3 linked regions of the Rhinolophus ferrumequinum genome follow. The protein of the gene in region 2 purifies or fractionates together with the protein of the main gene of each other region. This does not show direct contact. Links are inferred from orthologs where the notes say so. Each region holds a gene or a part of one and is shown on either strand. Other genes may lie near its edges.

Evidence for each region.
Region 1: the proteins of PHLPP1 (region 2) and USP1 purify together in Homo sapiens (affinity purification with mass spectrometry; 6 studies listed by BioGRID and IntAct, counting the BioPlex papers as one, with this or other methods). This does not show direct contact. The link is inferred for Rhinolophus ferrumequinum from reciprocal best matches to the Homo sapiens genes PHLPP1 and USP1.
Region 3: the proteins of PHLPP1 (region 2) and USP46 purify together in Homo sapiens (affinity purification with mass spectrometry; 7 studies listed by BioGRID and IntAct, counting the BioPlex papers as one, with this or other methods). This does not show direct contact. The link is inferred for Rhinolophus ferrumequinum from reciprocal best matches to the Homo sapiens genes PHLPP1 and USP46.

The regions. Positions count from the first base shown.
Region 1 is NC_046292.1:45,620,096-45,630,059, forward strand, and holds the start of USP1 (ubiquitin carboxyl-terminal hydrolase 1), read left to right. Parts: upstream 1-5,392; 5' UTR 5,393-6,135; intron 6,136-8,440; 5' UTR 8,441-8,512; coding exon 8,513-8,682; intron 8,683-9,964. UniProt on the Homo sapiens protein: Negative regulator of DNA damage repair which specifically deubiquitinates monoubiquitinated FANCD2. Also involved in PCNA-mediated translesion synthesis (TLS) by deubiquitinating monoubiquitinated PCNA.
Region 2 is NC_046302.1:50,043,442-50,053,050, reverse strand, and holds the start of PHLPP1 (PH domain leucine-rich repeat-containing protein phosphatase 1), read right to left. Parts: upstream 4,514-9,609; 5' UTR 4,178-4,513; coding exon 2,620-4,177; intron 1-2,619. UniProt on the Homo sapiens protein: Protein phosphatase involved in regulation of Akt and PKC signaling.
Region 3 is NC_046288.1:15,425,005-15,435,157, forward strand, and holds the start of USP46 (ubiquitin carboxyl-terminal hydrolase 46), read right to left. Parts: upstream 4,439-10,153; 5' UTR 4,268-4,438; coding exon 4,232-4,267; intron 1-4,231. UniProt on the Homo sapiens protein: Deubiquitinating enzyme that plays a role in behavior, possibly by regulating GABA action. May act by mediating the deubiquitination of GAD1/GAD67.

The sequences.
Region 1 (9,964 bases), on a different chromosome or scaffold from region 2:
TAAAGAACAACTTTTCTAAATAACATGTTCACATTTCTTCACATATCTAAATAACATGCTCATATTTCTACTTGATTTTTCACTGAGCTATTATATATTGACTTCCCAATAAAGAAGATAAGCTTTCTTGTGCACACTCCTCTGCACATTCACCTTGCATGTACACTGTTAGTTCTTTCATTCTCTTTATACAGTTATAATTTACTTATCCTGCTCAATCAGCTGGATGTCATTGACGTAATAGATTAACATGATGTTCTGCAGGATGTCCAGAAGGTCCAGATGTCTTCAAACTATTTTATGACAGAGGGCAGGAATGTTAACATCGCCCTGGGCCAAACTGTAAATGTGAACTTTTGTCTGTTTCATGGGAATGCCAACTGTTTCTGATCCTTTCTTAAAACTAGAACAGACAAGAATGCATTCGCTAAATTAACGATGTGTATCAAGTACCCGAAGCTGTATTAATCTGTTCTAGCAAATATACTGCATCTGGCACAACAGCTGCCATCAGGTCTACTAATTGGTAAGCTTGCCATAATCTACTGTCATCCTTCAGGGCCCATCTATGTTTTGCAGGGACACATGTGAGTTAAATGGAGATATGATGGGAATCAGCACTCTGTATCTTTTAAATGCATAAGAGTGGCACTAATTTCTGCCATCCTCTCCTGAGATACAATATCGTTTTGATTTCCTGTGCCATGTTTGCCTGGGGAGCGGAGGCAATTTCAGAGGCTTCCACTTGGCCTTCCCCACTATGATAGCTTCTACTCCACAGGCAAAGGTCCCAATGGGTTTCTACCAGTTGCCAAATAGATCAATCCCATTATATATTTGAGGACAGGGGAAATGACTGTTGGGTGGGCCACAGACCCACTCTGAGCATGACTTTGCCACGACCCCACTTAATAACTGGCCTCTCTCTGTCCCCACTCTAACAGAGGACCATGATGATATTTCTGATCTCTGGATACCAATGTCAATTTACCAATGTCTAAACAGTACTTTAAATGTCTGGATATCCCCATTTCCCCAAGGTACAATTACCCAAATAAATGGCCAAAGATACTTTGGGGATGGACTAGGGAAATAATTACCATTTATACTTGTTCAAGTATGTGGCAGGGTCCTTCCTTCTGGGGACCTCTACAATCAATGGGTTCCAGGTCTATACAATGGCTCAGGTGTGGAAACTGATTAAGGAATTGGGACTTTATGGGGTGACAGACCTTAGCCTCCTGGTCATCAGCTCTTGATTTTTTTTCTGCTGATACAAACTAATAAAACCTCTGTTGGCTGCCTATCTATATTTCCCCTAAGAACACCATTTTCTGTCAACCATTTCCGTAACTGTGTGTGTCAGGTCCCCTGTGTAACTGTGTATTACACAGTTATAACAATTGTAACCTGGCATCTGGTAGTACAGCACTGTCACCTGGTCTCTATTATTGTGGGGTCCTGTCATCCCCACCGTACTAGTGAGCCAAATTTTGGGAGGCCTCTGCTACATTCATCTGTGATTTGTGGAAAGCCACACATACTCCCCAAGTTCCTGGTGGTACACGCTGGTAGGTCCTGCATTTTCTTTGGGAGAATAGTCCTTTACCTCTATCAGGTACAGCACCTCCCAACTACATTATGCTATGACTTAACATTAATTATAGGCATAGTGACCAGAAGGTTATCCATTCATACTGCACATCGCATAACCTTAGAAGACATAGACATATCTCGTTGGCTGAGTGGAAGCATTTGGGCAGACTCAGATGTTGCAAGATGGAAAACTGGTGACACTTGTCCAATTGTAAGATATTTGTAGTATGAAAGGAAATAACTGGGAAACTTTATAAACTTGGTATTTACTGGCTTTTTCTTGCCACTTCCAGCAAAGTTCTATGGGAAATGAACTCAGGCCAGAATTGGCCCATCGGAAGGTAGAGATGGAAAGGAACAATTTTGCTAAGAGGGGAACTCTGTCTGTAATCTAAGTGGATTAAGAGTCCCATAATTTTGGGCTTTAAAAGACTGAAAAAAACCCCAAGTATTTCTATACCTCCAAATCAAAGCAAATAGAAACAGTGTCTGTGAACAAAAGCCTTGGAAGGAAATATGCCTGCCACTCAGCCATACTAAACTGACAAAGATGGGATTAAGAATGCTGCCCACCTATTAAATTCCAGTTTCAGATGCCCCCAAGTTAGCTGTCATTAAGGATGACGTAGCTGCTCAGCACAGAGAAGCCAGGAAATAAAAGATAGTCTTTGGGCTTATAAACTTTATCTAGGCAAGAACTGCTGCTGTAATTTCTCCCACATTGAACTGACTGAAAGCAAAACAACAGAAACCCTTTAAATTTTTGCATGAATTATATTGCCAGAGATACACCAAGCTTGATATATGCATCCCCAGGCTTCAGCTGTTGCTACTGATAAGCACAGTTGAGGAGGTGTTTGGTGTTTCTGAAGCAGCATTAGCAAAGTCTCAGTGTCCAGCCGCTAATTAGTTCTGTGGGCCTTGATGGGCAGGATTTAGAACATGTATTGTACTGGTATAGATCAAAGTGGGTACAGTGTGGTTCTGGAGTTGGCAACACAAGCGGCTTTGATTGTGGTGGTTTCCTAGGCAATTGCAGGAGAATGTAGTTCAGAAATCATCATTTCCTGATCATAGAAGAGTCACTGTTCCCTTGGTGGCCTGGTTCTGTAAAGACTTTGGGACTTGTTTCTGAAAAACTAATCTTAGAATCTATTTAATCTTGGTGATGGAAGGAGAACTGACTCCGGGTGGTGAACACACAATGGGATTTATAGATGATGTAATACAGAATTGTACACCTGAAATCTGTGTAATTCTACTAACAATTGTCACCCCAATAAATTAAAAAAAAGGACCATTATAAAAAAAATGAATCTATTTAATCAACACTCAATTTCTTATAAGTATGAAGGATGTACTTATACCACCAGGTGGAAGGGATTCTATTCTCTGCAAATGAACTTTGACTGGTTCTGTAAATTGTACAGGAAGAATAGTGGCTACAGACAATGGGCTCTCAACGGAGATATGAAAACTAGAATTAGGAAAATTAGAATAGGAAATTAGAATTGGTTATCTATCCTAGTAGAATTTGAATGTAGCGATGATTTTGCTAGTATGAGAGTGAGACACTGTCCAGTCCATGGCACAGAAAGGTAAACTAAGAGACTGATGTGTACTTGTATTTTCTAATTTTGTCCTTCTCTATCTTGAGCATCACCATTATGCTGGCCTCAAAATAAGTTTGGGTGCTTTTTCTGTGGCTCTCAAATAGGATTTATCAATCCTTTGAAAGCATGGTTAAAAAAACACTAGTTTTGAGCCTTACCAAGTGATAGTAGCATTAACTTCTCTATAGGCAGTTTAGAAATCACTGTGCATGTCACAGTATTCTTTTTATAAACTCAATGATTCCGAAATTCTAAGTGTCACTCTTAATATGGATTTTTGGGGGATAGCTACTGATTCTAAGGTGGGTAAATTAAGGGGCAGTTATCTTAATTCGGGATTCCTAGCTGGGCAAGGGAAGAGATCATCAATGCCCCGCAGATTTTTTAGAATGAATATTATCATTCTAGGTGATTTCTTCCAGTCTCATGGTTTAAAACACCATTTGGTGACTCCCAGATTTATATCCCCTGATCTAAATTTTCCACTAAGCTCCAAAATTGGTATCTGCTGGCTCAACAGGCATCTCAATCTTAACATCTAAGAACAATGGCTCCTCCCACGAAACCCACTAGACCCCATGTTCCCCATTTTAGCAAGAACCAACCATTATTCAGTTGCTTTGGTTTAAAAAAGAAAATCCTTGTCATTTTAGTCTCTTTTTTTCCTTATATGTCATCGGTAGATCCTGTTGGCTCTCCTTGAAAATATATTCTGAATTCTGCTAGTTCTTCCACTGCTACCACCTTATTCCAAGCCACCATACTTTATTCCCTGGGCTGCTGAAATAGCCTAGCGGACTTTCCTGCTTGCACTTTTGAAGGTCAACACTCTATCCATCCACAAGCAGCCACTTACACAAATCATTCCACTCTCCGGAGTAAAACCATCTAACGACTCCCACCTCCTTACCCTGCTTCATCAGTGCCCCGCAATGTCACTAATCTTATTTCCCACAATCGTCCTTCTCAGGTTCACTGGGCACTAAGCACCCTGGCCTCCTAGCTTCTTTCCCAAATGCCAACCGCCTTAAGCTTCAGGACTTTTCTAACTTGCTGTTTTCTCTGCCTGGATCACCCTTTGCTCAGATTCCTCCAAGGTTCCCTCCACTCTCATTCAGGTCTCTGCTCAAACATCAACTCAGAGGTCTTTCCAGTCTATCCTATCTAAAACTGCACCTTCTTATATCTGCTTTCTCTATCACTCATATTATTTCATGTCATTTTAGTTAATTTTTGTCCCTGTCTAGACTATACAGTTCCTTTAGAGAAGGGATTATATTTCACTCACGCCATATCCCTAGCACCTAGAAAAATGCCTGGCACCTAAAAATAAGGTTGATTAAATCAATTTCGCTTGACCTTATCCTGCTTAACTGCAGCACTTGCGTTGTGAAGTCACCTCACAAAGATAAGCATACAAACACAGAAAGGAAGCAAAACCCAGGTGAGGCCTGCCTCGCCGTTTTTTGAGCCTTTCCCTTGCAGCATCCCGAGCCAGCGCTGGGACTTAAAATGCTATTTCGTTTCCTTCTCCCGCCGGGAAGGGGAAGGGGTAAACTGGAGAAAAGGAGGCGTGTAAGCTGAGAAAAGGAGCCTCAGCTCTACAGTATTCCGCCGCGAATTTACGGTTATCCATGGCAGCGCTTATTTTCATTGGATTGCCTTGGGGCTGAGGCTGCGATTCCGGAGAGAAAAACCCTAGCGCCAACCCACGAGAAAACCGGTCAGCCATTTTCGAAACTAGTCTCCCTGGAAACTCCGCCGATTAGGTACGCAAGAACGTAGGCGGAGCTTATTGTGAGGGCCTCACTCCGGAAACCGCACCCTCGGTGGCATCCCACCGACGAGGATTCGCAAAACGCAGAGCGAGATTTAACAGTCGGCCGCGAAAGCGCGCACTCGAACGCCAATGGGAGCGGAAGGAAGGGAACAACTCCTGAGGAACATTTTGTATATCCAACAATGATTGGCTGGAGCCCCCCTCTCTTCTTCTTGGTATTGGCTGGAATTCATTTCCCCGCCCATTCAGTGGCTTTTGTCTATGTACTTCTGATTGGCTCCTTTGGGCTGGTCGGGGGAGCAAGGTCAGGAGGGAATTGTTCATCACGGATTGGTGGATTTGAGCACCCGGCGGCTCCTTCTCCAGGAAGGAGCCCGTCCCATCTTGTCTCTGTCCCGTCCCCCGACCCGTACGCTTTTCCTTCAACTCGCGCGCACGAATGGTTAAAAAAAAAAAAAAGAAAAGAAAAAAAAGGGGGGTGTGGGGGTGTGAGGTCCAGCCCGCCAGCCAGGCCTCTAGCACCTAGCGCGCGCCCTCAGGAAGGACCCGCGCGAGCTGCCCGTGACAGTGCCTGCGCTGTTTGAAGCTGCAGAACCCGTTAGGATCTTGGGAAAACTACCGTTCCAGCTGGTTCCGGAGTCCGTGCGTGCCAGGGGTGCGAGTGGCGGTCGCGAGGTGGCTCTTACCTTTCGCGTCTCTGCACCGTGGAGACTAGAACCGGCATCTTCGAAGGACGCCACCTCCAATCGCGGCGCTGGCGCGGGCGGAGGCTAAAACACGGGGGTCCTGAGACTGAGGAAAACGCGCCAAGTTCCCCTCGGTAGTGGAGTGGGAAAGACCCTAGCGGTTCAGGCGCTTCGGCAGTGGGACTACTTCTTGCGCTTCTCACCATCCCGGGGCAGGCGCGGGTGAGCGCCGCTCCGGGGATGTAGTTGGTGCCGGCGCACCGCAGGACCGAGCGGCGGCCCGGGTTCCCGCTTTTGAGAGCGAATGGTCACTCCCCCGCGGGGAGGGCGATCCGACCAGCTTTTCCACGGGTCGGGGACTCCGCGGGCTCGGGGCAAGATCTCATCTGTCGCACTTACTCTCATCCCTATTCGACTCACCGGCGTCACCGCCGCGGACCTCGCTTTGGGCCATGACCAGGTACGGAGGGCCCGGGGAGGAGGGGTCGGTGCCGGCCGCCGAGACAAGTTGGGCCGGCTCCCGAGTGGGGCTGCTCTGGGACACCGGCGTCGGCGCCTCGGGGAAGACCCCGGGGCTGGACCGGTGCTGCGTTCTTGCAGAGCTGCCGAGCCCTCCGGGCACCGGGCGGGGCTCCCTCTTTGCGGCGGCTGGGAGTCGAGGAGGCAGGTGCGGACTGGGCGTAAATAGGCCAACCCCACGGGTGTGGGGGCCCAGGAGCCGTAGTTCGGGCTAAGGACGCCACCGGCCAGCCTGCCGCTGTGCCCAGGGCAGCGTCTGACAGGCACCGACTTCAGCACCATCTAGTCAAATTTCACTTTCTTTTGCGTGCGTAGAGTGCTGCAGGGTAGGGAGAAGAAATGTTTTCACTCACGTTGTCCTGTGTAGGTAATTGCTGAATTTTACCGCACAGTTTAACTTTTAATTTTTCTGTATTTAGAACGAACGCCACGTGTCTTAAACGTTTGAAGAGGATGTTATCCTTAATTCTTTTGCCTTTTTCGTGAAAAATTGTAATTGAGTCGTGTCATTTTGTAAAGCACTTAAAACTAGTGGGACAGGATTCACGCCGTCATTTATTCACACTGTCATTTATTAATGTTCGATTCACTGTTTTTTGCGAAATTTGATTTAGACTGCAGAAGAAACATTTTTTATGTAACAACCCCCAGTTATAAGAAGCAAGACATAGTAATATAGCTTAATATACGGCACCTGGTAAAATGTTATATTCTCAGTTTAATCATTGCTTTGAGGGAGCCAGGAGGGTTGGTTATTGATTAGGATTGATGGAATCCGTTATTTTAGCTGCTTGGTAAGTTTTTCTTCTATTGACTTAAGTCCGGTTACTCTGTCTCTTAGATAATCCAGTTTCCATCATTTATTAGAATTGGCTCCCAAGAAAAACCGCTTACAAGAATCATTAATGCTTAGAGATGCCTTACAATTTAACGCAGGCTGGTTTATCATTCATGATAGCTTTTTATCAGTAGCATTTAAGTGGCCCGGAGAGTAAATTGAGTTGGAGAAGGAATGGGGAAATTGGTCAGCTTTCCAGTTATTCCTGAGTTGAGTATCAAAAATGTGGTTTCACTGCTGAGTTCAGTGCTGTGAATTCCCAGATTAGAGGCAGCCTAGTGAAATACTTAGGACAGAATTTGAGTGAATTTTGTTAGTTTATGGTATTACTCTGTATCTACATTTGAAAGTGATTGTTGAGCTTTTTGGGTTCTCATAATACTGCAGTCAGATAATTTTCCCCCAGATAGCCTAAAAAAAAAAAAAAATAGAACTGATGTATAAAATAACTACCATAAATACTATCATTTTTTTTTATCCAAAAGTTTTACTTTAAAATTGGGAAGAAGGGTTGCAAATGGTAAACCAAATCATCCTTTTTTCCTACACAAAACATTGTTTTAAGAAATCTAGTTTAAAAGATTTTTGGAAAATCAGTATATTGTGGTTTCTAGTGCATAAGAATTTTATATACACAAAGTGTAGCAATTTTTCTTATACAGAAGTGCATCACTCTCTCAACTTTCATTATTTTATTTTCACTCGTTTTGTTATACCACTACCAGATCTATGCCTTTTCTTGTATGCAAATTATACTTTAAAGAGCCTCTTTGAGACTATTTCATTTATTCATATAATTAGAAAAGGCCTTAGAAGGAAGACTCATTCATTTCCAGCATCCTTTGATTCCCATTCATCCTTCTGTTTCCCTTCTACTTTATAGAGATGGTAGTTGCTCAGTATTTTCTGAATGAATAAATTATAATAAAAATTAAGGTTTTACTCTTTAATACTTTAGAGTAGGTCTACTAAAATGGGGTATTTGGTGATGTAACCCTTAATCTAATAGGCTCAAGTTAGTTCAGTATCTTACTTTTTGTCGTGTAAGAAAGTTAAGGACAATGACAAACAATAAAACATTGACTGTTATTCCCAGGTATTAGGTTTTTGTTTTTTTTTAATTGGGGAATATTGGGAGAACAGTGTGTTTTTCCAAAATGTCAAGTCGTTTTTCAATCTAGTTGTGGAGGACACAGCTCATTGGCCCATGTGGGAATCGAACTGGCAATCTTGCTGTTAAGAGCTTGTGCTCTAACCAACTGAGCCATCCAGGCGCCCTAGGTTTTCAAATATTAAGTTCTAATTAGTATTATTCCTTGGTAAACTTATTTTCAAAATTGATTTTATTGTCTACAGCTGATAACAAAGGAAACCTCTGAAAACTAATGAAACCTTTTTTTGTGATTAGCAGATATGATTGGTGATTATATCGTCCCTCTATAAATTAATTCTTGTCAACTCTTTGGGATTTGAAGAGAAAATGCCTGGTGTCATACCTAGTGAAAGTAATGGGCTTTCGAAAGGTAGTCCATCGAAGAAAAACAGACTTTCCTTGAAGTTTTTTCAGAAAAAGGAAACTAAGAGAGCCTTGGATTTCACAGATTCTCAAGAAAATGAAGAAAAAGCTTCTGAATATAGAGGATCTGAAATGTATGTATCTTAAGTATATTTCTGTACTTTTAAAATTCCACATCAATGAAGAAGCAGTCAACTTGGTTTGATACTTCAAGACATTCTGACTTGATAGTCCACAGGGGCAAAAAAGCAAACCAAGAAAACACACATTTGTGTAACAAGTCTAGCAGTATATAGTAGAAACAGCAAAACTGGTGGTTCCTCTCAGGGATCATCACATCCATGTTAACTCATTCACATTGTATTCAGCCAATTAGACTAACTTGGAGAAATATTTATTGACTAAAATTGTTTATTAATTTAAACTTGATTGTAGTACAACACATTTTATGTAAGGGTGAAGAAATAGGTGTTTTTCTTTTTCTGTTTTTTCTTTTTTCTTTTTTTTTGGTTCAGAAGACTTGACAGTTACCTGAGATATTTAAACTTTGTAGACATATCTAGCGTATGAATTATCAAAGCTGTTGGGGCATACAGATTGTATTTCACATAAACTTAAAAATAAATGCTTTTGATGCAAATCCTTCAGTGAATGAAATCAGAACAAAACGTAGTACTTTATTCCACCAGTAGTTGGTCTAGTTGGAGTCTACGCTAGCTTCCTATTCAACAGATAGGTACTCTGCTCTATGACTAATGTGGATTTGGTTTCATGTGTAATTTCCTAATATTAACCAATAATCATTTTAGGAGATTGTGTGTGAACCTTTTCTTTACCAGCATTCATGCCTATACACACTTTGAGGTGCTATAGTAATAGCTAGCAGCTATAAAGTAAAGAATTCTTTGATGACCTACTGTTTGTTAAAGTCAGGTACCATGTTTCTAATTCTAGTACTGTGTTTCCCCAAAACTAAGACCTAGCTGGATAATCAGCTCTAATGTGTCTTAGAGCTGATTGTCTGGCTAGGTCTTTATTTTTGGGGAAACACAGTACTAGAATTAGAAACTTGGACAATTCCTTTTTAAGTGAGGGATAGCTATATAATTATGTTCATAGACTCTCTTTTCTCTTATTAATAGAATCTGACAGATAGTGCAGCTTTTCCTAAATATTGTCATAATCGGTTATTCCCAAATTTCTATTGTTAAACTACAGCTGACCCCTGAACAACAGGCTTTTATGTGCTGGTGTTTTTCAGTAAATACCATAAATGTATCTTCTCTTACGATTTTGGTATTTTCTTTCTCTGGGTTTACTGTAAGAATACAGTGTATAATGCATATAACGTTCAAAGTATTTGATAATCAACTGTTTTTGTTATTGGTAAGGCTTCTGGTCAACAGTAGGCTATGA
Region 2 (9,609 bases):
ATTCAAAAGGCAGCTTCCTAATCTATCCTTAATTCCAAGCACATGTATAAACAAAAAGATATGCAGCAATAAATTTAAGAGTAAGTTACATGTAAAATGATAAAAACATATGTGGTATACAAAAGGGTGTCATCTAAAACAAACATTAATTCTCTTCTTCCTCAGGAAAATCATTACTACCAAAATGTAACACTTTCCAGTTGGGTGTCCTACATTCCATTGCAGTACACGGATAATTTCTAGGAAATCTACTCCAGCTTGGTGCAAACTTCCACTACATGTGAAGTCCTGACAATGGTTCCATAGTAAGTGACACAACCTTATAGCAAGGCCTTTTTGTTCATCAATAACTAAACTTCCTGGGAAAGTTCTTTTTCCCTCAATTTTGTTCTATAGCAAATGAATATCAACAAAGAGACATTTGATATTAACCTATTCATACAGGCTTAAAACAAGCTCAACTTTGTATAAAAAAACAAAATAAGCAATCAGACATCTTTATAATAATCAGGCATCTTCCTTCTAGGACACCTACCTGTACCCTGCCTTCATCTTCGAGAACAGGTTGGATACTGTGTGTGGCTTCATATTAAGTATTTTTATGAGCATATACACAGAGGCATGTAAATATTTATGTTGTGTATACAGAAATAAAGCAAGTAAGTTCAGAATGAAGTAACAATTACTGCTATTCATAAAAAACAAAAAAAAGATTAAAATGACCACACCAGAAATTTAAGATTTAACCAGAAAGATACTTTGCCACTTTTATATTGAGATGTTAAAAACTGTATATCATTCACTTAGAATATTTTAGATACACTTGAAGAGACAATCAAGGGGAATCAAAGATTTAAATTTCATGACCATGACACCCAAAACTTTCCTATTAGCATTTATCATGATAAACATATCTAGTGGTGAGGAAAACAGGGGATACAGAGCTCTTTCCATATAAAATATGTCCAATACTGTTAAATGTGTGTGTATATATATATATATATATATACATATATATATATATATATACACATTTCCTTCCATGAATTAAGTCTGGTTATGAGGGTATTTATCACTTCAATGTTAACAAAATATTCCCATTCCATGTGTGATTATCATTTAATGCTTTTGTAATTTTACAAATTAGATGAGCTGTAGGAGAAAAGGATAGAGTTGTTGCTCCTACATAAAAAACAAAATCACCTATTTCCTAGACCATAAACTTTTAAAGGCATGTCATCCAGTTGGGATACCATCTTCAAATGAAACTGCAAATGCTATTGTATTATGATATGGTTTTCTTTATAAGGCAAAACTCCATCAGAAATCCACCTGAATTACAGAAAAACTTCAGTGAAATTCAGAGGAACATCTCATCAGGAATGCTATTTATTTGTCTTGCATATTTCAATGTGGGAGTAAAGATTTCTTCATTCAAACTGACTACACTGCCACTAGGACATAAGTTGGACCAAGAACATACTAAATAGAAAGAATGGGTACAGATTAATTACAAGTGTGATTATTTTTCCACTATCACCTACAACCTAGAATAGTAAAGTTGGGGAAGATACAACTCTGATTTATTTTGTTATGCTACCTTTATAAAATTCCTTATAACTAATAACATAATTCTTGAAACCAGAGGGAGAAAGGATGTAACCAACTTATAAAGCTCAAATATAACAACCAGAATCTATAGCTCCCTAATTATGCACCAGCCAAATCTCTCATCCAAGAGAACATTATTCACCCCAGTCAAGAATTTGATCTGTCAATTGTATCTCAAAAAAATCTGGAATAAAGAATAGAATTTTTTAAAAAATTTTAATCTAGAACTGAAAAAGAACGAGGACTTTAGATCACATTTCAAGAGATAGCACTTAAAGTCTTACTGTGATTCCCCATTGTAAATCACACTACAATGGTCAGTTCTGGCTATAAAGACTGAACGTGAGAAACAAAATAGGCAAAATCACTTTTGATGCAAGAATCAAACTTGGAGAGGAAATTGTAATAAAGCAAAAAAGCGCTGGGAAAAAGTTATCTAAAAAGGATCCTATCTGTTAGGTCTCTAACGAGGGGTAAGTGGGCAAATAAGCATGACAAAGAGAGCTGAACGTGCACCAATTTGACAAGTAAGGAGCTGGGGGGGGGGCAGTATTAGGGTTAGGAGGGCAGTCAAGTGTAGGGAGAGTGTTCTAGAGCGTTTTTGTTAGCCATTTTCCTCTATCGGTATTAAGTACACGTGATAGTTTACCTGAAATCCCCAACTGCCCTGAGGGAGGCCTGAGGGCAGCAGGTTCATTGTTGAAGGTACTACTGCCTCTTGAATACCTGCTTCCTGTACTTCCCGGGGGTTCTACCAACCCCTCCCAACCTCTGAGTTGCTTCCCAACCTGAGTCCCTCAAGACTGACCAAACGATCGGCACGAATAATTGCTCAGTTGAGTATTACACAGATCACCCGTGAAAACTGTAAAGTCACAAACACTGCCTAGGACCTGCGACTATTCTGGGGTCGGGCCAACAGACCGCCCACCTGACTCCCACCTCTGAACATGATGAGTTGACACTTTTCACCCCCCCTCCCCGGCCAAGTCCAGGTGATTTCCTTACCTGCGTAGAAGCGGATAAGGCAGCCAATCTCTGAGTCCATGCCTTCCTCCTGCACCCTCCATAACTCCCCAAAGCCCAGCTGGAAGAGGTAGTCATTTTGAATCTGCAAAGGCTTCTCGTCCGCCTCCAGGCGCCGGGTGGTCTCTCCGTGGAGCTGCACGTACAAGGTGGGCGGCGGAGGCGCCTTCTCCGCGGTCGCCGGGTTCCCACCCGGGGGGAGCTGGGGGCGGCCAGGGGCCGCGGCTGCTGCCTCCTTTTCCTCCCGAGGCCAATCGCGGGCAGCCCCGTCCGGGCCGTCGACGAGCCTCTGGGCTTTTGGCTGCGGCAGAGGCGGGGAGGCCGTCGGGGAAGGCGGCCGGGCGCCTGCTCCGGCCCGGGGCTGCACTGAGCGGCCGGGCAGGCGGGGCTGGCCCGGAACTCCCGGCGCGGCTGGATCGGCCTCGAGCTCCTCGGACGACGACGAAGAGCCACCGCCGCTGCTATAGGGGTCCAGCCGGTCCGACACGCTCTCGACGCTGGGGCTCAGGCTGAAGCTCTCGGTATCCGAAGCCCGGCCCGCGGCCGCGCTGTCCAGGGGCCGCGCGGCGCCTGGCTCACCCGGGCTGGAGTCCGAGGGCGCGGGGCTGGCGCGGGAGGAGCCGAGCGCCCACCCGCCGGGGTCACCGGGCAGCGGCAGGTCGGCAGGAGGCGCGCGCGGCGGGGCCCCGACGGCGGCCAGCGCGCTGTTCCGGGGGGGCGGCCGCAGGTCCCGCGGCTCGCCGGGTGCGAGCCGGGGGCCGGCATCGGGGGGCCCCTTGCCCAGCACCTTCACCACGCCGCCGCCTTTGTGGCCCACCTGCAGCAGGCGGGCGGCCACCTCGCCGGCCGTGGTGTCCAGTGTGCAGAGCACCGGGCGCAGGTAGGTCGAGGCCATGTGGCGATCGAAGACGTGCAGGCAGCCGCGCTGGAGCTGGTGCCTCACCCAGTCCCGGTCCGACGGCTGCAGCTGCAGCATCTGCCGGTGCTTCAGGAGCAGCGTCTTCCTGTCCAGGCTCCGGGTGCACAGCGACGCCGAGGCCGAGCAGGAGGCGGAGAGGCCGGCGCTGCCGGGGGAGTGCGAGGCGGCAGCGGCCGAGGACGACGACGACGACGAGGAGGACGACGACGACGAGGCGGCAGCAGTTGAGGACAGATTCCTCTTCAGCCTCCCTCTCCTCAGCAGGAGGGAGTTGGCGCCGCTGCCGGCCCCGGACACCGGGGCAGCCCCGCCGGCGGTGGGCTGGGGCGCGCCGCGCCTCCTCCTGCGACCGGTGCCTCCCACTCTGCCCGGCAGCGGCCCCGGCTGCGCCTCGCGGGGGGCCTCTTCCCGCGCCCCGGTGCTCGGGGCCGCCGGGGTCAGCGCGGGCTCTGGGCTCCGGCCGTCCCCGGCCGCCGCCGCCGCCAGAGCTGCCGCGGCCGCCGCTGCCGCCGCCGCCGCTGCCGCCGCCGCTGCCGCTGCGGCCGCCGCCGGAGCCGGAGCTCGGTCCTCCCTGCTGGTTTCTGGGAGTCGCTGCGCCGTAGACGCGGCGGCGGGCTCCATTGCAGTGGGGCTCCGAGCTTCCCCCCCAGCTCCGGAGGCAGCGGGCAGAGAGGGAGGCGGTGAGGCGAAGGTGGGAGACGGCGGCGGTGGCGCGGGGAGAAGGGAGAAGCCAATGGCGTTCGGCGCGGCCGTTCCAGGGGATTATGTGGCAATTCGGAGCATTCCGTCGGTGTCTCGGTGTTCCATCCCGCGCGCCCGCCTCGCCGCCACCGCCCCCCCTCTCAACACGCCCTCCCCGCCCGGGTCGAGGGCTCCCGCGCACAGGCCCCGCCCGCTCCCACACCTCACGCCAGCGAACCAGCCGCGAGGCTGGGCTCATTGAATATTAATCACGCGCCGGGAGCGGGAAGGCGGGAGGCGGACAGGGCGGGAGCTCCACGTGAGCCTTATGAATATGCATTGCTAGCATGACGGCATTCCTGGGAGGAGTGGGGAGAGCTGGAGGTCGGAGGGGAGGCGGGGCTTCAGAGTAAACAAACTGACGCGTGCGTACGAGGGCGGGGCGGGGGAGCCGTTTCCCCCGAGGTTCCAGCGCGGGCCTCACAGAAGGGGAGGCCGACAAAAGAGGCGTGCGGTGCACTCTGGGAGTTGTAGTGCTAGTGCGGAGACGGTCATGCTCAAGGGAAACAGGGCGAACTACAAGCCCCAGAGATCCTTACGTTGTGCCCCTCCTTGCATCCAGCACCTGGCAGTGGACAGTGCGTATTGTGCCCTCTACTGTTGAACACTGTGCCGGGAATGTTCTTGTTGATTAACTTGTACCCAACTCTCCCACTCCCGCTTCCCATAAGAGTTTCGTTTTCCCTACTAATTGAAATTAAGGACTTTGAGGGACTCAAAATGGCACAAAAATCCCCGGTTCGTGACCCTCACCTCCACCCGTTGTATGGGATACAAATACCCACAGCACCACTGGATAACTGGCAATCAAAGTAAGCCAATTTCACTTTTTCCCTACTTTTTCAAGGTCAAGGGAGACTGGAAGTGTCTGGAAATACTAACTTGGACAATTGCTGAATGTGCTTGGTGGAAGTCGTGCAACCCGGAGCTGATCTTCTTCCATGCCTATATCTAAAAAGGAAAAGGGCAAAGGGCAGGGCTCTCATTTTTTTCCCATTGATCTTAAAGTTTGGAGTAACTTAATGACACAGAAAGCACTGGAAAGTAATAGCAACGTTGGAAAGGAGACATTAGTGGGATACGAGATGGGCTGTTCCTGTGTGTTCCCTCCTATGTCATCCCTTGTTGTTTCTTTCAACATTCAGAAAAAAAGTTCTACTGTTACAATGTTTAGTTGTGTTTTGAAAAGTTGCACTTTCTTGTCAGTTAAAACAATACTGTAGACTAGAGTAGGGTAGCTTACTATTTAAAAGAATTTAGTAAACCTTTTTAATTGAGTTACCGTTCCCCCATATTGTTTTATAAATCTGGATTTTCACATGTGAGACTTTTTCAACCGTATACTATCCAGGGCCTGCCTTAACTTCAGTGAAATTCCTAAACTTTGGTGGGGGAAGGAGAAAGAGAAATCAACTGGAACTTGCAGCTGACATAACAAAAATTAAGGGCAAGGAAAGTTGTACTTAGGTTATCTACACAGTTTTGCTGAAGAGGGATTAAGGAAGCTACCAGGACAAAAATAAATACATATCTCGCTTGATTCTTGAAATTCCTGAGAATGATTTTCTGTATTTTTCTTTTGAAGTCTTACCTCTTGGCCTCATGAAACTAATTTTATTCCGTTTCAATTCAATCAACAGTTTTATTTTTTAAATTAGGGAGAATGCAAATTCTCCTAAGAGAGATAAGACAGTCAAGTCAATTAACTTAACAAATAATTATAAACATATTGTATACCAGTCACCACTGTGTTACAGCAATTGAATGAATCAGACACTGTCCCTGCCGTTTTCTGGATTTTTCTTTTTTTTTTTTTTTTTAAGGATGAAAGCATGAGCTCAAGATCAAGGTAGCCCAGGGGGAAAATTAGGGAACTAGTACATACCATACAACTCTTTCAAAGAATTTTGCTGTACAAGAGGGAGCTGTGAGTTGAGGAAGGGTTTTAATTCAATATGGAGGAAAGTATACTATGTTGAAAGCTGATAAAAATGATATAATTAGGTAGAAAAACTGATGATACAGGATGAGAAAGGAGAATAAAAAATATCTTCAATAAGTGAAAGGAGATGGGATTTAGTGCTTAAGTAGAGGGATTAGAATGCTGGAGCACAGATAGGTTATCCAACAAAGACAGGAAAGGAAGAATATATGAACACTGGTGCTAGAACGTAGGTAAGTGTAGTGGAGACAATTTTTGAAACGTCTCTTCTGATTCTATCTTCTGTTAAGTAGGAAGCATGGTCAACAGCTGTGAGCAAGGATTGTGGAGGAAGTGCTGAAGGTTTGAAGAGATAGGAGGAAATGTGAGATAGTCCCCTAGGAGAGAATAATCAGAGAAACTAAAAGGATAAGTAATCAGCCTAGATACAAGAAATAGTGAGCAAATTTACTGGTAAACATGTAGATAAATCTAAATATTATCTGTATAAAAATTTTTAACGCTCAGTTTGTAGAGTTGAAAAAAAAAGACAGAAATAAAATGCTGGACAATAACTGCTTAAACATAAGGAGGAAGTAACTGAAGTTAAAATGTTCTAGGGCCCTCTTACCACTGGGAGGTTCAGCTATTAATGTTACATTTTGTTAAGTACACAAGTAAAATTTTGAGAGTAACCACTAAAAGAAAAGAACGAAAGTGCCAACTTCCAAACTAATAAAGGAGATAAAACAAAATAAGAAGAAACAAATACTACTGTATTTCCCCCAAAATAAGACTGGGTCTTATATTAATTTTTGCTCCAAAAGATGCATTAGGGTGTATTTTCAGGGGATGTCTTATTTTTTTCATGTACAGCAATCTACATTTATTCAAATACAGTCATGTCATCTTCTTCTGGAACATCATCATAACGTACTAAATGCATCCGTCTAGTTGACAGTCTTAACTGGGGCTTATTTTCGGGGTAGATCTTGTTTTCAGGGAAACACGGTACTCCTGAAACTAATGTAAAATAATACTGGGAAAAAAAAGAACAAGCAAATACTCAACCCCCAAAGAAAGGGCACAAAGAGAGGGGGAAAAAAGCATAGAAATAACAGTAGCAATGGAAACTGGAGGAGATAAATAAGACCAGCTGTCAATAATCACCACAAACATAAGTGGACTAAACTTGCCAGTTAGAGTTAAAAGACAGAAATGGTCAAGTTTTTGTTAAAAAAGAAACAAACAAAAATGAACTTTATGTTTACAAGAGCACCTAAAACAGAAGGACTTAACAAAAGCTGAAAATAAAATGATTGAAAAAATATATACCATGTCCTTGCCTTTGTATACAGCTTACAGATTAGAAAGAAAGAGTCAACAAGTGAGAGGGATGTAGGGAAGGGGAAAGACCAGGTGCCGGGGGAAGAGACAAAAATAAAGCAAGGGGAACTGACCTAGTCTAGGAAGTCAGACAATAGAGACCTACCTTTGGATGAAATCATCTGGAACAACTGAAACTGAATACTTGCTGAAGGATCAGTCTTCAAAAGAAAGCAAGGAGGCAGAGAAAGAGATAATGACGTTGAAGTTCAATTTCAACTGCACTAATCTATATGGTGTCTTGAGTAGTCCCTAACACAATTAGTTCTAGAAATGAAACGAATGGTATTTTAATTTAGCCTCCCTTTAATAAGATCGAAAAACAAAGAGCATGTTAAATTTCAGTACAAAAACTCTTTACATTCCTTAGTTCCTTAGTTAATTTCCTACAAACCCATTTAATTTTCGATCTATTAAGAAATGTGTATTGGGCAGCCGGTTGGCTCAGTTGGTTAGAGCACAATGCTCATAATACCAAGGTCGCTGGTTCGATTCCCACATGGGCCAGTGAGCTGCGCCTTCCACAGCTAGAGTGAAAACAATGACTTGACCTGGAGCTGGTGGGTCCTGGAAAAACACACTGTTCGCCAATATTGCCTCATATAAATTAAAAAAAAAAATCTGTATTACCTCCCATATACCTGCTTTCTAGAGTTATATTTCTTTAGCTAATATAACTAAAGGCAAGTTTGTTTTAATCATAAATACTGTCACCATTGGCCCAATGTCCATTTGCATACTCTCTAAGAAATTATAGTGCTGTACTTAATCTAGCTCTGGTTCTTGTCATTTAGCTTTACACACAATCACCAGGACTCTGCCTTTTTATCCTCTAGGAATTTTGTTTACTCTTTGAAGGTATTTATAACCAAAACACCTCCTCCAAGAGGAAAATTTTTTAAAGAAAAAGCATTGCTCAGAAAATTTAGTACCCAAAGTATTGGGGAGAGAACGAGGGGATGGGACTTCATCATACATACCTGCCAGACTTGGTATGAGGGATTATTAAATTGGGAGGAGGAGGGGAATAATGAATAATGTTAAAGTATTTCAACATGAAGACAAAGGAAATACATTCCAGCCTCAAAGAAAGAGTGAGTTGGGGGCATGGGGCAGGGGAAAGAATGTAGAATATAATTTCTACATAAAGAAACTATTTCATACATAGTATTCATAACCTTAAAGACACCATATTCCATTGTACTCAGAATAATGAAAATAGGAGTTGAGAAGAAAGCAGAAAAGCAAAAATCTACAATATGATCCATTCCTTGTTCCACCTCCAAACCTTTCATAAAGTTACTCAACGTGGGGATGAAAGGGGAGAGAGAAAATGAGAGTTCGTAAAGAATAGGCAGTGCCCTTAACACCACATCAACTGGAACCTTGTAGTTGAAATAACAGACATTGATAAGGGCAATGAAACTTGTGCTTAGAGCTTACTAGTATCATGAAACATCATCCAGACCATCTGAGCCAACCTACACTACACAATCTTTTTGAATAAGAAAAGGATTTCAGGACAGGCCAAGTGTTTTTCAGACACCCGTGAAATAGCTTCTCCTACTTAAAAGTAGAGTGAGTATCCTGAAACCACCGTGACTCCTAGAGGCTTCCCCCCCACACCCTTTAAAGTGTTTCACATGTACAATACCACATTTTTCTGACTAGCCACACTTTTCAAAGAAACACATCTTAAAATGCTAAAAGATAATCCTGACAAGAAACAACAGATGTAAAAGTTGCAAACCCTGATGCCAACTTGTTAAAATATTTTCACAGCTAAGTGGAGAAAAAGAGAACATAATTTTCAATTTACTGCCACAGTTTATTTTACGCTGTGTGATTTATAACTGACTTGCTGTGTTGTGCATCTAGGTTAATCCTGTTTGCATCCTTAGATCCAAGATAAAAGAAACTATCTTTGGAATTTTTTTCCTAATATGAGCAGTTGGAATTTTAATGGAGGCAAGACTTGATAGCTGGGATGCTTTCAGTCTGAATT
Region 3 (10,153 bases), on a different chromosome or scaffold from region 2:
TAATTTTACTTTCCCTTCTTATCAAGGTGACTTCCTTGCCGCGTATTTAAAAGAATTCAATCTGGCACTCATGATGGTGCCCAATAATACCCTGGGATTGTTCACTGGATGCTAACCTACTATCTGGTCGTTTGACACTGTTTTAAACAAAGTAGTTAGGTACTCACGTGGTCACTAAACAATTAAAAGATGTAGATTTTTTTATAAAGACTCCTTTTTTTTTATAAAGACTCCAAGAAATCCTACTTACTGAAAAGCTTTTGAAAACAACAAAACAATATGTCAGTTTTACAAGTTGAGGAAAACCAAGATCCCAAGAAATATAATTTGTCCAAAGTCAGCTTTAGACTCGGGCTTCACTGGAGAGACACCCAATGGTACAGATTCCAGTTCTCAGTTACACTGACTATAATCATGTCCTCATATAAAATACAAACTATGGTCAAAAAATATATTAAAGAAATGTCCTTCTGTGTTCATCAGTCTTTCCACTGTGTCGTCTCTGAGATTTTGTTCAACCCTTATCTGTGCAGATACCACACTACAGTAAAAATTTCATCTTTACCAATGTCATGCCCACAAGAAACTGCTGAGTTCCACGCAGATAGGGACTCACCTCCTTTATTTACTTAGCACCTGTCCATAGGATGTGCCAACACGGACACAGCAGGTCCTCAACAAATGGCCATTTACGGGGACAAAAATGTAATCTATCTGACACACAGCATTTCCTATATGGTACATCTTGTAACACTATTAACAAGCTAAATTAAGATTAGATGATTTAGACCAATTTGCATTAGTCCAAGTGACATTTCTAGGGAGCACAGTTGGTTTCTCCTAACAAATGCTTCCTCTTTAGAAAATTCCTCAAACTCTTCAAACAGAAAACTTGCCAAAAAAATGAAAACACAAAAACCTTCAATTTGTAAGGTCATAAAAATACGCAGGAAGCTAAATCCATTGGTCTGGAAAAAATCAGAGGATTATCAACAAGGGACATTTTCTCATGCTTGGTAGCAGCTAGTGCATTTTAAAAATTACAACACACCAGCCAAACAAGCTTTACTATCTGTGAACCAGACATGCTGTGTAGCTAAGCTGACAAGCCCTAAGCAAGTTGATCAAGAATCACTATGGCAGGAATTCACATGGAAGTAAAATTAAAACAAATGGGAGCTAGCATTCAAGTTCCCATGCACAATAAAACTTCAGTGGGGAAGGTGACAAGTGAAGACATGTGAATATTTCCAAGTCCCTATATCTAAAATTGGCACAAGAAGTATGAGGGGAAGAGAAGGTGTTTCTCAATCACATGAAGGATTTGCTATGGAAGTTTTGTTTCTGCTCTGCTGGGTCCTCTCTTGTCTGGTGGACGAAACAAATCCATTTTTCAATGCTAGATCTTGGTTTGCTCAAGTGTTACCTAGAAAGATGATATCGTTTAACACCGTTTCTGGACACATACATCAGCCTGTTTAAAATATGCCAAATGACCTGCTTTAAAAAAATGCAATCACCACTTGCTCTTATAACAACTACTCAAACCAGCTGGGACCAAATGGAGTTAAGAGTGGGAAGGATCAATAAGAGCCCCAGAAAGAAGCTAAACAGTGAGAAGGAACCCACAGACCACCTACCTGAAAACAATTCATCATCGAGTGAAGACTCTAAAGACAGGTCCAATGAAAATTTACATCTGATCAGGTGAAAAGACAGCAGTCTCATCCCCAAGCCTTCCTGTGTGGGAAGTGAGACTGGGAGGGGCGAGGGTGACCTGAGCAGCCTTTCATAAGGGGCGGGATTATGGATTCCCATCCCAGGCTTTGTATACAGTCACTCGGCTTGGTTTGCATAAATGACCATGTGGGTTGTTTATATTAGTGGCTGCTGTCATCAAGTCCAAGAAGGCATACTCCCCATTGTCCTTTGAACAACTGAAGGTGACATAATGATGTTGGAAACAGCTAACACTCAATAAGTACTTGTAACTCATTTAATACAACAGTCCTAGGAGGTAGGAACCATCATCACCCTGTCTTTATAGATAAGACAAAGAACAACTTGTTCAAGGACAAAGAGCTAGTATGTGTTAAAACCAGGACTTGAACCCAGAAAGTCTAACTTGAGAGCCCAAATCTTCATCACTTGCTCAAGACACAATGTCCAAACCAGAAGATAAAACATCTTACTTTTGAATTATTTATTGGTTCCTCACCACACCTAGGTGATGAGCCTAAATTTGGTACCTATTTAAAGATTCTACGAGGTATCAACTTTCCAGACAATACTAGCGCACTCCTCTCACGTCCTCCCTGCCACTTGTCTCCGTGGCTGAGTTTTACTGGGAATAGGTTGCGACATTCTGTCCAGATGTGCCAAAAAGCCCCAGTTGCACCGAGGGTAGGTAGGTAGATAGATAGATAGATAGAGAGAGAGAGAAATAAATAAATTTTTAAAAGCTGGAGGCTGGCTTCCTCTTGGGACGCGCTACTCACTCTCAAGTTTCCAGCCTGCTTCAGTAGAGAGAGGTGTCACCACACACTAGCTTAGGACGGGAACACCACCCAGGGCTGGGACTGCACCTCACTGCCCTGTAAGCCTGAGGCCACTCCAGCAGGCATGAAAGAAGAGTGTTAGAGCTGCTCTGGTTTCACAGGCCCCTCAGGAGCTAGTCTAGCATAGAGGGAAACCTAGAAGGCATCACCTTTCCACTGCACCAGGCAACATTATCTCCACAGGAAGACGGAGCAGGAGACCCAACTGCGTAGAGAAGGACGGGAAAGAGAGGAAATGGATATGCTCCAGGATCCACCCACCACATCTAACTGGTCCTGTGCCAATACCTTGGCAGCTATCACTCTGGGAAGCCCCAGCATTTGTTCTGCTGGCCATGGCAGTGACCACAGCCAACAGTGCTGAAAACTGAAGCCAGCACCAGTGGGTCTCAATTCCACTCCTGAGCGAACACATGGCTCCTTAATGCTTCTCTGCCATGTGTTAATCTTACAACAAAATGTGGGACAGAAGATTTAAAAAGCTCTGTGATGGGGGAAGGGCAGCCAGATCACCTTACCTCCAGGCTTCCTAATCAAGCCTCCTCAGATTCCCTTTAGGGGCCTGTATTATTAGCTACTAGGGAGGTTTTCCCCAAACTAGCATTAAAAGAACACGTGTTCCAGCTGGAGATAAGGGAGCTTTGCTGGGACGAGGGGACCCTGGAGAAGGAAGGCAAAGCAGACACTCTTTCAGCCTGCACAGGAGGGCAATGTCTTACTCCAGGAGGCAAGCTGTGCACCCCAAGGCTCTGACAAGTGGGGGTGCCAGCAGGGTGCACCCTGGGGACTCAAGGGCTGGAAGCTGTTCCTGCAGAAACTGAAAAGCAAGGGAAAGCTGTAAGAGAACCCCAAGTTAAAGTCACCACCCCGCCCTGGAACCAGTCCCCATCAGAGCCCAGTGATATTCCCTTGCTGTGTCTACACCCACCAGCCTACACAGAGCCTACAGCGCATCAGGCCGGATCACCCCGGAGACCTCCTCCACTCCCACAGCCTGTCCCACCACTCTCAGGGCCTTCAAATGTCACTGCCATATAACCTTGTCCCTCTTTCACTGGTGGGGAAACTGAGGCATCTAAGACCTATTACCGTGCTTTCTCAAACCAGGTGAAATTCACTTCCCTAAGCACAATTTTGCACTTTTTTTATAGCTTTATTACATTTCAAATTTCTCCAGATACAGCGATTGCCTTTGGAAAGTGCATTTTAAATACAGTTTAAGGAGTGAACTCAAAATGTGAAGAGGGCGGTCAGAGAGACCCGCAGGGCTTCATCTACCGCAAGGACAGGATGGGTACCCCCCACCCCCCGGCTTATCCCGCAAGCCCTTCCACCGGGACGTCCGGGTTCGGCCTCCCCCTAAGGCGCTTCCACCGCAACCCGAGGGCGGAGGCACCCGGCGCGGCCGGGTACCAGCGGGCGGGTTCCCAGGTCCCAGTGCAGAGAGCGGGGCAGGGGGGCTCGGGGCCCCTCCCCCGGGGGCTCTAGGGGCTGCGGCCGGCGCGCCCAGCCCGGGGCGGGGAACTTCGAGCGACGCGGCGCAGACCCTGCCGCCCCTCGCCCCCACCCCCACCCCGGCGCCAGGCGAGTGTGCGGCTCGGGTTTCCCTTTCTTTGCCTCGCCGCGCCTCGGGCGCGACCCCCGAGGCGGCAACGGCGGCGGCGGCCACTCACCATATTACAGATGGAGGCGATGTTTCGGACAGTCATTAGTCTAAAGGTTGCAGCGATCCCGCACCGCCATCTTTATAAGGTGAAAACAGGACTGTCCATGGTGGAGCGCCCGCAGGGAGGCCGGGCGGCGGCGGGGAGGCGGCGGGGAGGCGGCCTGGGGTCCGGCTTTCAGTTTGGCTGGGAGAGGGAGGCTGGGAGGGAGGAGGCGGAGGCGGGGAGGGCGGGGAAGGCGGGGAGGGCGGGCGGGAGAGCGGAGGGCGGGGAGTGGCGGAGTGGGGGAGCCTGGGCCGCGGCCGCGGGCGCGAGGAGGAGGGGCCGCCTGAGCGCGCCGCGTGCGGCCCGCGCCCCGCGCTGCCTCCGTGCGCCCGGCCTCCCGCCGGCCCGGCACCTGGCCCCGGGCCTCTACGCCCTCTTCCAGCCGCCCGCGCCCCGGGCCACCGGGCTCGGCCTTTTTCTTTTCCTTTTTATATTCTGCTTCACTATCTTTGGACTGAAATGCCGGCCCAGGCCCTCGCCTGCGCGGCTGCGGCAACCTCACCGCGCGGGTCCCCGGGGCAGACCCAGATGCCGCGGCGGCAGCGGCGGCGGCGGCCTCCTCCGGGCCCGTGGCGCCGGCGGGAACCAGGGACAGCGCTGGGCGTTGGGCACCGCCTGGCGGAAGGGGCCGCGCCTCGGGCCGACAGCAGGCTGGGGAGGCGGGAGCCCGGGCCCAAGGCACGGACGCCGCGGAGAGGGCCGGTGCCACACGGGGTAGTTTTCTGGCTTCACTTTTTCTTTCCTGCCTCCGGTCTCGCAGCAGCCCCAGGTCTTTATATTTTGGCGGGTGGAGAAAGCAAAGGGTAGGGGTGACTAAGGCCAACTTTTAGTTTCTCCCTGGGGTTACAGCCAGATGGCACCGGCGAGGACCAGAATGGGGTCAGAACAGGCGAGTGTGAGAAAGCCCTTGCCAGCCGTGGGCCGGCTGCCTGGTAAAGGGCGCCGCGAGGGGAGAAGAATCTGGGTCTTGGGCGGAGGCCAGAGCGACGCGCTCAGGCAGTTTGTGACATTAACAGGTACAAAGGACAAGTCCGGGTTCTGGGCAAGGAGTAGGGACTGTCCGAGGAGCGATTTGAATCCGGAAAGAACCAACCTTGAACGCATCTTAAAGAAAAAACTACCTCTCTCCTGGGCACTCAACCTCTAGGTTTTGAGAAGACTGCTCTGCTGGCTCAGACACATTTCCTGCATAAAAGGTCGTGGCTCCTAGCTCAACTAGCGAATCTACACCACTTAGCAGATACGTTCATGCGAAGTGGAAAGGAGCCCGTTTCCAAATGTGTGAAACAATTCTACATACAAGGTTGCAATTCAGTGCTTTCAACCGAAAAGTTGTACAAGTGAAACGCATGGTAATTCTTAAACCAATATATGTAATGACATTTGAAGAAATTAATATAACTGAAGACAGCTTTCATCTAACCAAGCCAAGGGTACCATACTGGGAAAAGATTCCACATCCTATTCTCCATTATCTATTTAGTGTTACACACGAAGATTTGAGAACCATTGATTGCTAATATCCCTAGGACTAGGGTGAAAACAAAATAACTACTGACTCAAGTTTTGTGGGGTCATGTTAGCTGTGTATATTTCAATGGGTTTAAGGAATAAACTCCTGCATATGTTAAGTCATTCTACCTACATCTTATTTCCAAACAAATCCTGATGATGATAATCAGTAACTTTGAGTTCTTACCATTGTCAGTCATGATGTTCTTTACATTCATGATCTTCAGTTACCGTCAGGACTATCAGGTGATAGATGCTATTATCCTCATCGCCTTTTGCAGATCAGTAAAATAAGACCTAGAGGATCAAATCTGCCTCCTGTTGCCAAATGTTACAAATGTAGCTGGTGTGCTAAGCAGGCTGGGAGAGGAGAAGGGAGCAAAATACCCAAACTATGGCCAGTTGGATAACAGACCTAGAAAGGTTTAAAGACTTAAGGAAAATGGCCAAACAAGTTCAGGAGAACCTTCAGGGCCCAAACTCAGGACTCGGGACTCAATTTCACAGACATTCCACCATAAAGGCATTAATCCAAAGCCTTAAAATGATAATGGAAATTTTATACCGTCATAGAGTTCAGCATTCTGCCGGCATTGACACAATGGATTGCAAAGTCCACGGGACAGAAAACCCCACTGACATAATGAAAATTGAACATCATCTGATGACTGAGTGCTATATGAACAAGTTAAAAGAGTCTTTTGCGTGCCTTTTAACAGTGTGTAGCCTAAAAGTGAAGTGTTCAATGTAGACAAACATCCAGATTGAAACTCAAGCAGTGAATTACATACACAACAAATCAATTGAACACAGCAGATCTTCTCAGGCTCATGAATAATTAAATACATGTTTACACTACTAGATTGGTATTCACAGGTCTAAATTGAAAAAGGCATCAGTTGAAGAAGAATTGTAACTTCGGCTTCACTCAGTAAGGAAACACTTGCAAATGATAAGAGGTAAAATGATGAAAATGTTGACAAGCTAATGAAAGAACTTTGAGGCAAAGCATTTCATGTATAGGGACTAGCTTGTATGAAGGTATAGAGATAGAACTGGGAAAAGTAGGCAAATGGAAGGATGGGAGGCTAGCACTAAACAGCTTGAATGAATCTGAGGGAGGCAGTCACTCCAGGTAGTATGCCTCTTGCTACACAAAGTGTGGTCCGTGAAGCAGCAGCACTGGCGTCACCTGGGAGCCTGTGAGAAGTGCAGATTCTCAGATTGCATCCCAGACCTACTAAATGAGACTGCATATGAAGTGTGAAGAGCAATGCTCCAGCCAACCACTTGTGGTGGTGGTGGTCTCTGTTTTTGCCTGCCCAGGTCCAGATTCTACTTTGGGGAACTCCTCTCCCATTCCCAGAACCTAAGGTTCAGGTGTGGCTAAGTCACCTCCTGGCTCCAGAGTAAGGCACGTGATCCAGGCCTGGCCAATGTGGCCTGATTGCCCAGCCACAGTAATTGCTTCAGCAAGGAGAATGTAATATAAACTGAGCCAATGAGGATCAGCCCTGGGTTTTTTGGAGAGGAGGTACTCCCCTTCCTGAGTTTGTTGAGCTGATAGGATAAAATCTAGAGCTGCCATCTTTCCACTGCCTGAGAATGAAACCAGTGTAGAAAAAAAATGAAGCTGAGGAATGGAAAAGAGACCCTAACCACATCATTTATCCACTAGCTGCTAGATCTATATCCTGGACTCTAGCAACTCAAGTCAGTAAAGTCTTTGTTTTCTTTGGCCCATTCAAATTGAGTGTCTGTCACACACAACTGAAAGAATCCTAATAACCAGTGTCTCCCTGTCCCCCCAAATGCATTAGGCTCATTCCAAATTCATGATGTTTTCTTTTCCTCTCTTCTCTACTCACTAAACTGATCTTTGGAAGTCTTCCTCCTATAGTTTTGCCTCCTCCGTGAGGCCATCCCAGATTGCTCTCCCACACCACAACCACGAAAGAACTCCCATATTCAGATGGTTCCATACTCTCCCTTCTATTGTTACCAGTTTCCTGTCTGTCTCCCTCCTGCTTCCCCTCTTTGCTTAGCCTTCCGATGACTGGAGGCCACTCAGCCTTCCGATGACTGGAGACAAGATGAGATGCCCTTGTTATATGTTCTTATAGCACCATCCATCTTTCCTTCAAAGACCTTATATTTATAAATATGTTTATGCCATGTAGCACACAGCATGGAGGCAGTAGAGTGGGTGGTTGAAAAATGAACCCTGGATCCAGGCTGCCTGAACTAGCTGTATCACCTGGAGCAAGGTTTTTTAACCTCTCTAGCCACAATTTATCTACAAAATGAAGACAATAAGAGTACCCCTCAGAGTGTGATTGCATAAGTTTATGTAAAATACTAAAAATATACCTGGCATATATGAACCACTATAAGTGATAGCTGCTATAATTATTGTGCATGTGACTATTTGGTTAATGTTTATTTCCCAACCCTCATCAGACATGAAGAGACAGGCCTGGTTTTACTCATTTTACATCTAAAGAAAGACACAGCGCCTTGTCCATAGGAGGAGCCAAGAATTCAGATATTAAGTATCTGAACAATTGCCTTTCCAAGTGGCCTGGAAGCTCCTGGAGGAAAAGAACCTTGTCATGTGAATTTTTAAAAATCTCCTCTGGTCTCAGGCACTGAGACTGGCACATTCATTCCTTTCCTTTTTTCCTTATTGTCATATAGGTTATTGCAGCTCACTTGATATGCAAATGCTAGTAAACATTTCGCTGTTTGAGGGAAAAACATTTTGCTGGCTGTAGACTTGAGTTTGAAACCAAACTGGTATCTGTGGATTATATTTCAATTTTATGAGGAACTTTGTGACAGCCTTTTTCCTTTTTCATCATGCATCGAACAAATACTTACTAAAGACATACTTTGTGCTAGACGCTCTGTGTGGCACTGGTGATCCCAAGATAAAAGAAGGCAGTCGCAGCACTTGCACTGCTCGAGTTCATTGGTGGTGCTCCTTGGCATTGTTTATGAATGTCCTTGCTCCATTTTGCCTGCAATTAGTATGAAATAAGGATAAGCTAACTTTGGTATGAGCATCAATTTAGAGTTCCTACAACAGAGAAGCTGCATCTAAAATCATGAGTGTATTTATGGGTTGTTAAGATTCCCTGAGCCTTTGGAACAATTGGCTTATTATGAGTGCCAATTAAAATGCTGTGGAAGGATTATTAAGCTCGGTTGGAACATGATTAGATTTTATTTGCTCATACATTTTGATTAACTGAAAGAAGAGATTAGTCTAGCTGGCCACCATATGGGGAAATAGGGTTTGAAGGAAAGCAAAAGCACTCTAGGTGAGGTCAGTTAGAAATCTGTGGTGAGAATCCCAGAGTTGTCAGTAGCCTGGGAATGGCAATGGGGAGCAGGGGGGAAGGGGAGCAAGAAGTGGACAAATTGAAGATTTGTTTTTGGAGGCAGTCAGCTGAATTTGGTGATTGACTGGGATTAGCAACAAGTGTGAGTCAAAGATGAGTCCCAAGATTCTGACTAGAATATAAAGGAATGTCATTTTTTATGATAGGGAATGCTGAAGGAGAAGGTTCAAATATAGGTGGTTAGGAAGAAGTGAGTTTGGTTTCAGAGGTGTTGAGTTTGCAATAACCATGAAACACCTGAATAGTTATATCAAGCACTGGTCTAGGCTCAGAAGAAATGTCTGGACTGGAGATAAATCTAAGAGTAATTAATTAATGTATAGAAGATAATGGAGGACATGCAGTTATGGATGCAATTGCCTAGTGAGAGTATATAGAATGAGGATAGACAAGGGCATAGTCAGAAAGAACTCCACCATGCAAGGATCAGGTGGCAGACAAGGAGCCAAAGAAAACTAATACAGAGCTTCTAAAGTGTAGAAGCAAGGAAACATGCAACATCACAAAGCCAAAGAGTATTTCAAGATGGAGGGAAGAGTCAAATGTATTCTATCTGACAGCTAAGAGATCAAGGAAGGTAAATACTACTAGTAGCAACAGATTCTTGAATAAGGCTTTAAAATGAATCCTTCTGACAACCCTATGAGGAAGGCAGTAGTATTATAATCCCCATTTTAGAGACGAGAAAGTTGAGGCTCAGAAAGTTTAAGTAATTTGCCCCAATTTATGTATTATCTCACCAGAGCCTATTACTCAAGAGGCCTTGGAATTCTCTCAAAGACACTTTGCATGGAATGGTTAGGATAGAATACAGACTGGAATGGGTTGTTAAGTGAAAGGGAGGTGAGAAAAAAGACTAAAGATGCTTGGCTTTTGAAGGGAAAGAGAGAGAGGGTAGTAGACAACTGAGCTCAAAAATACCTTCAGTGAGTGGCTCTCTGCCTGGTTTGCAAGGACCTCCTTAATTTGG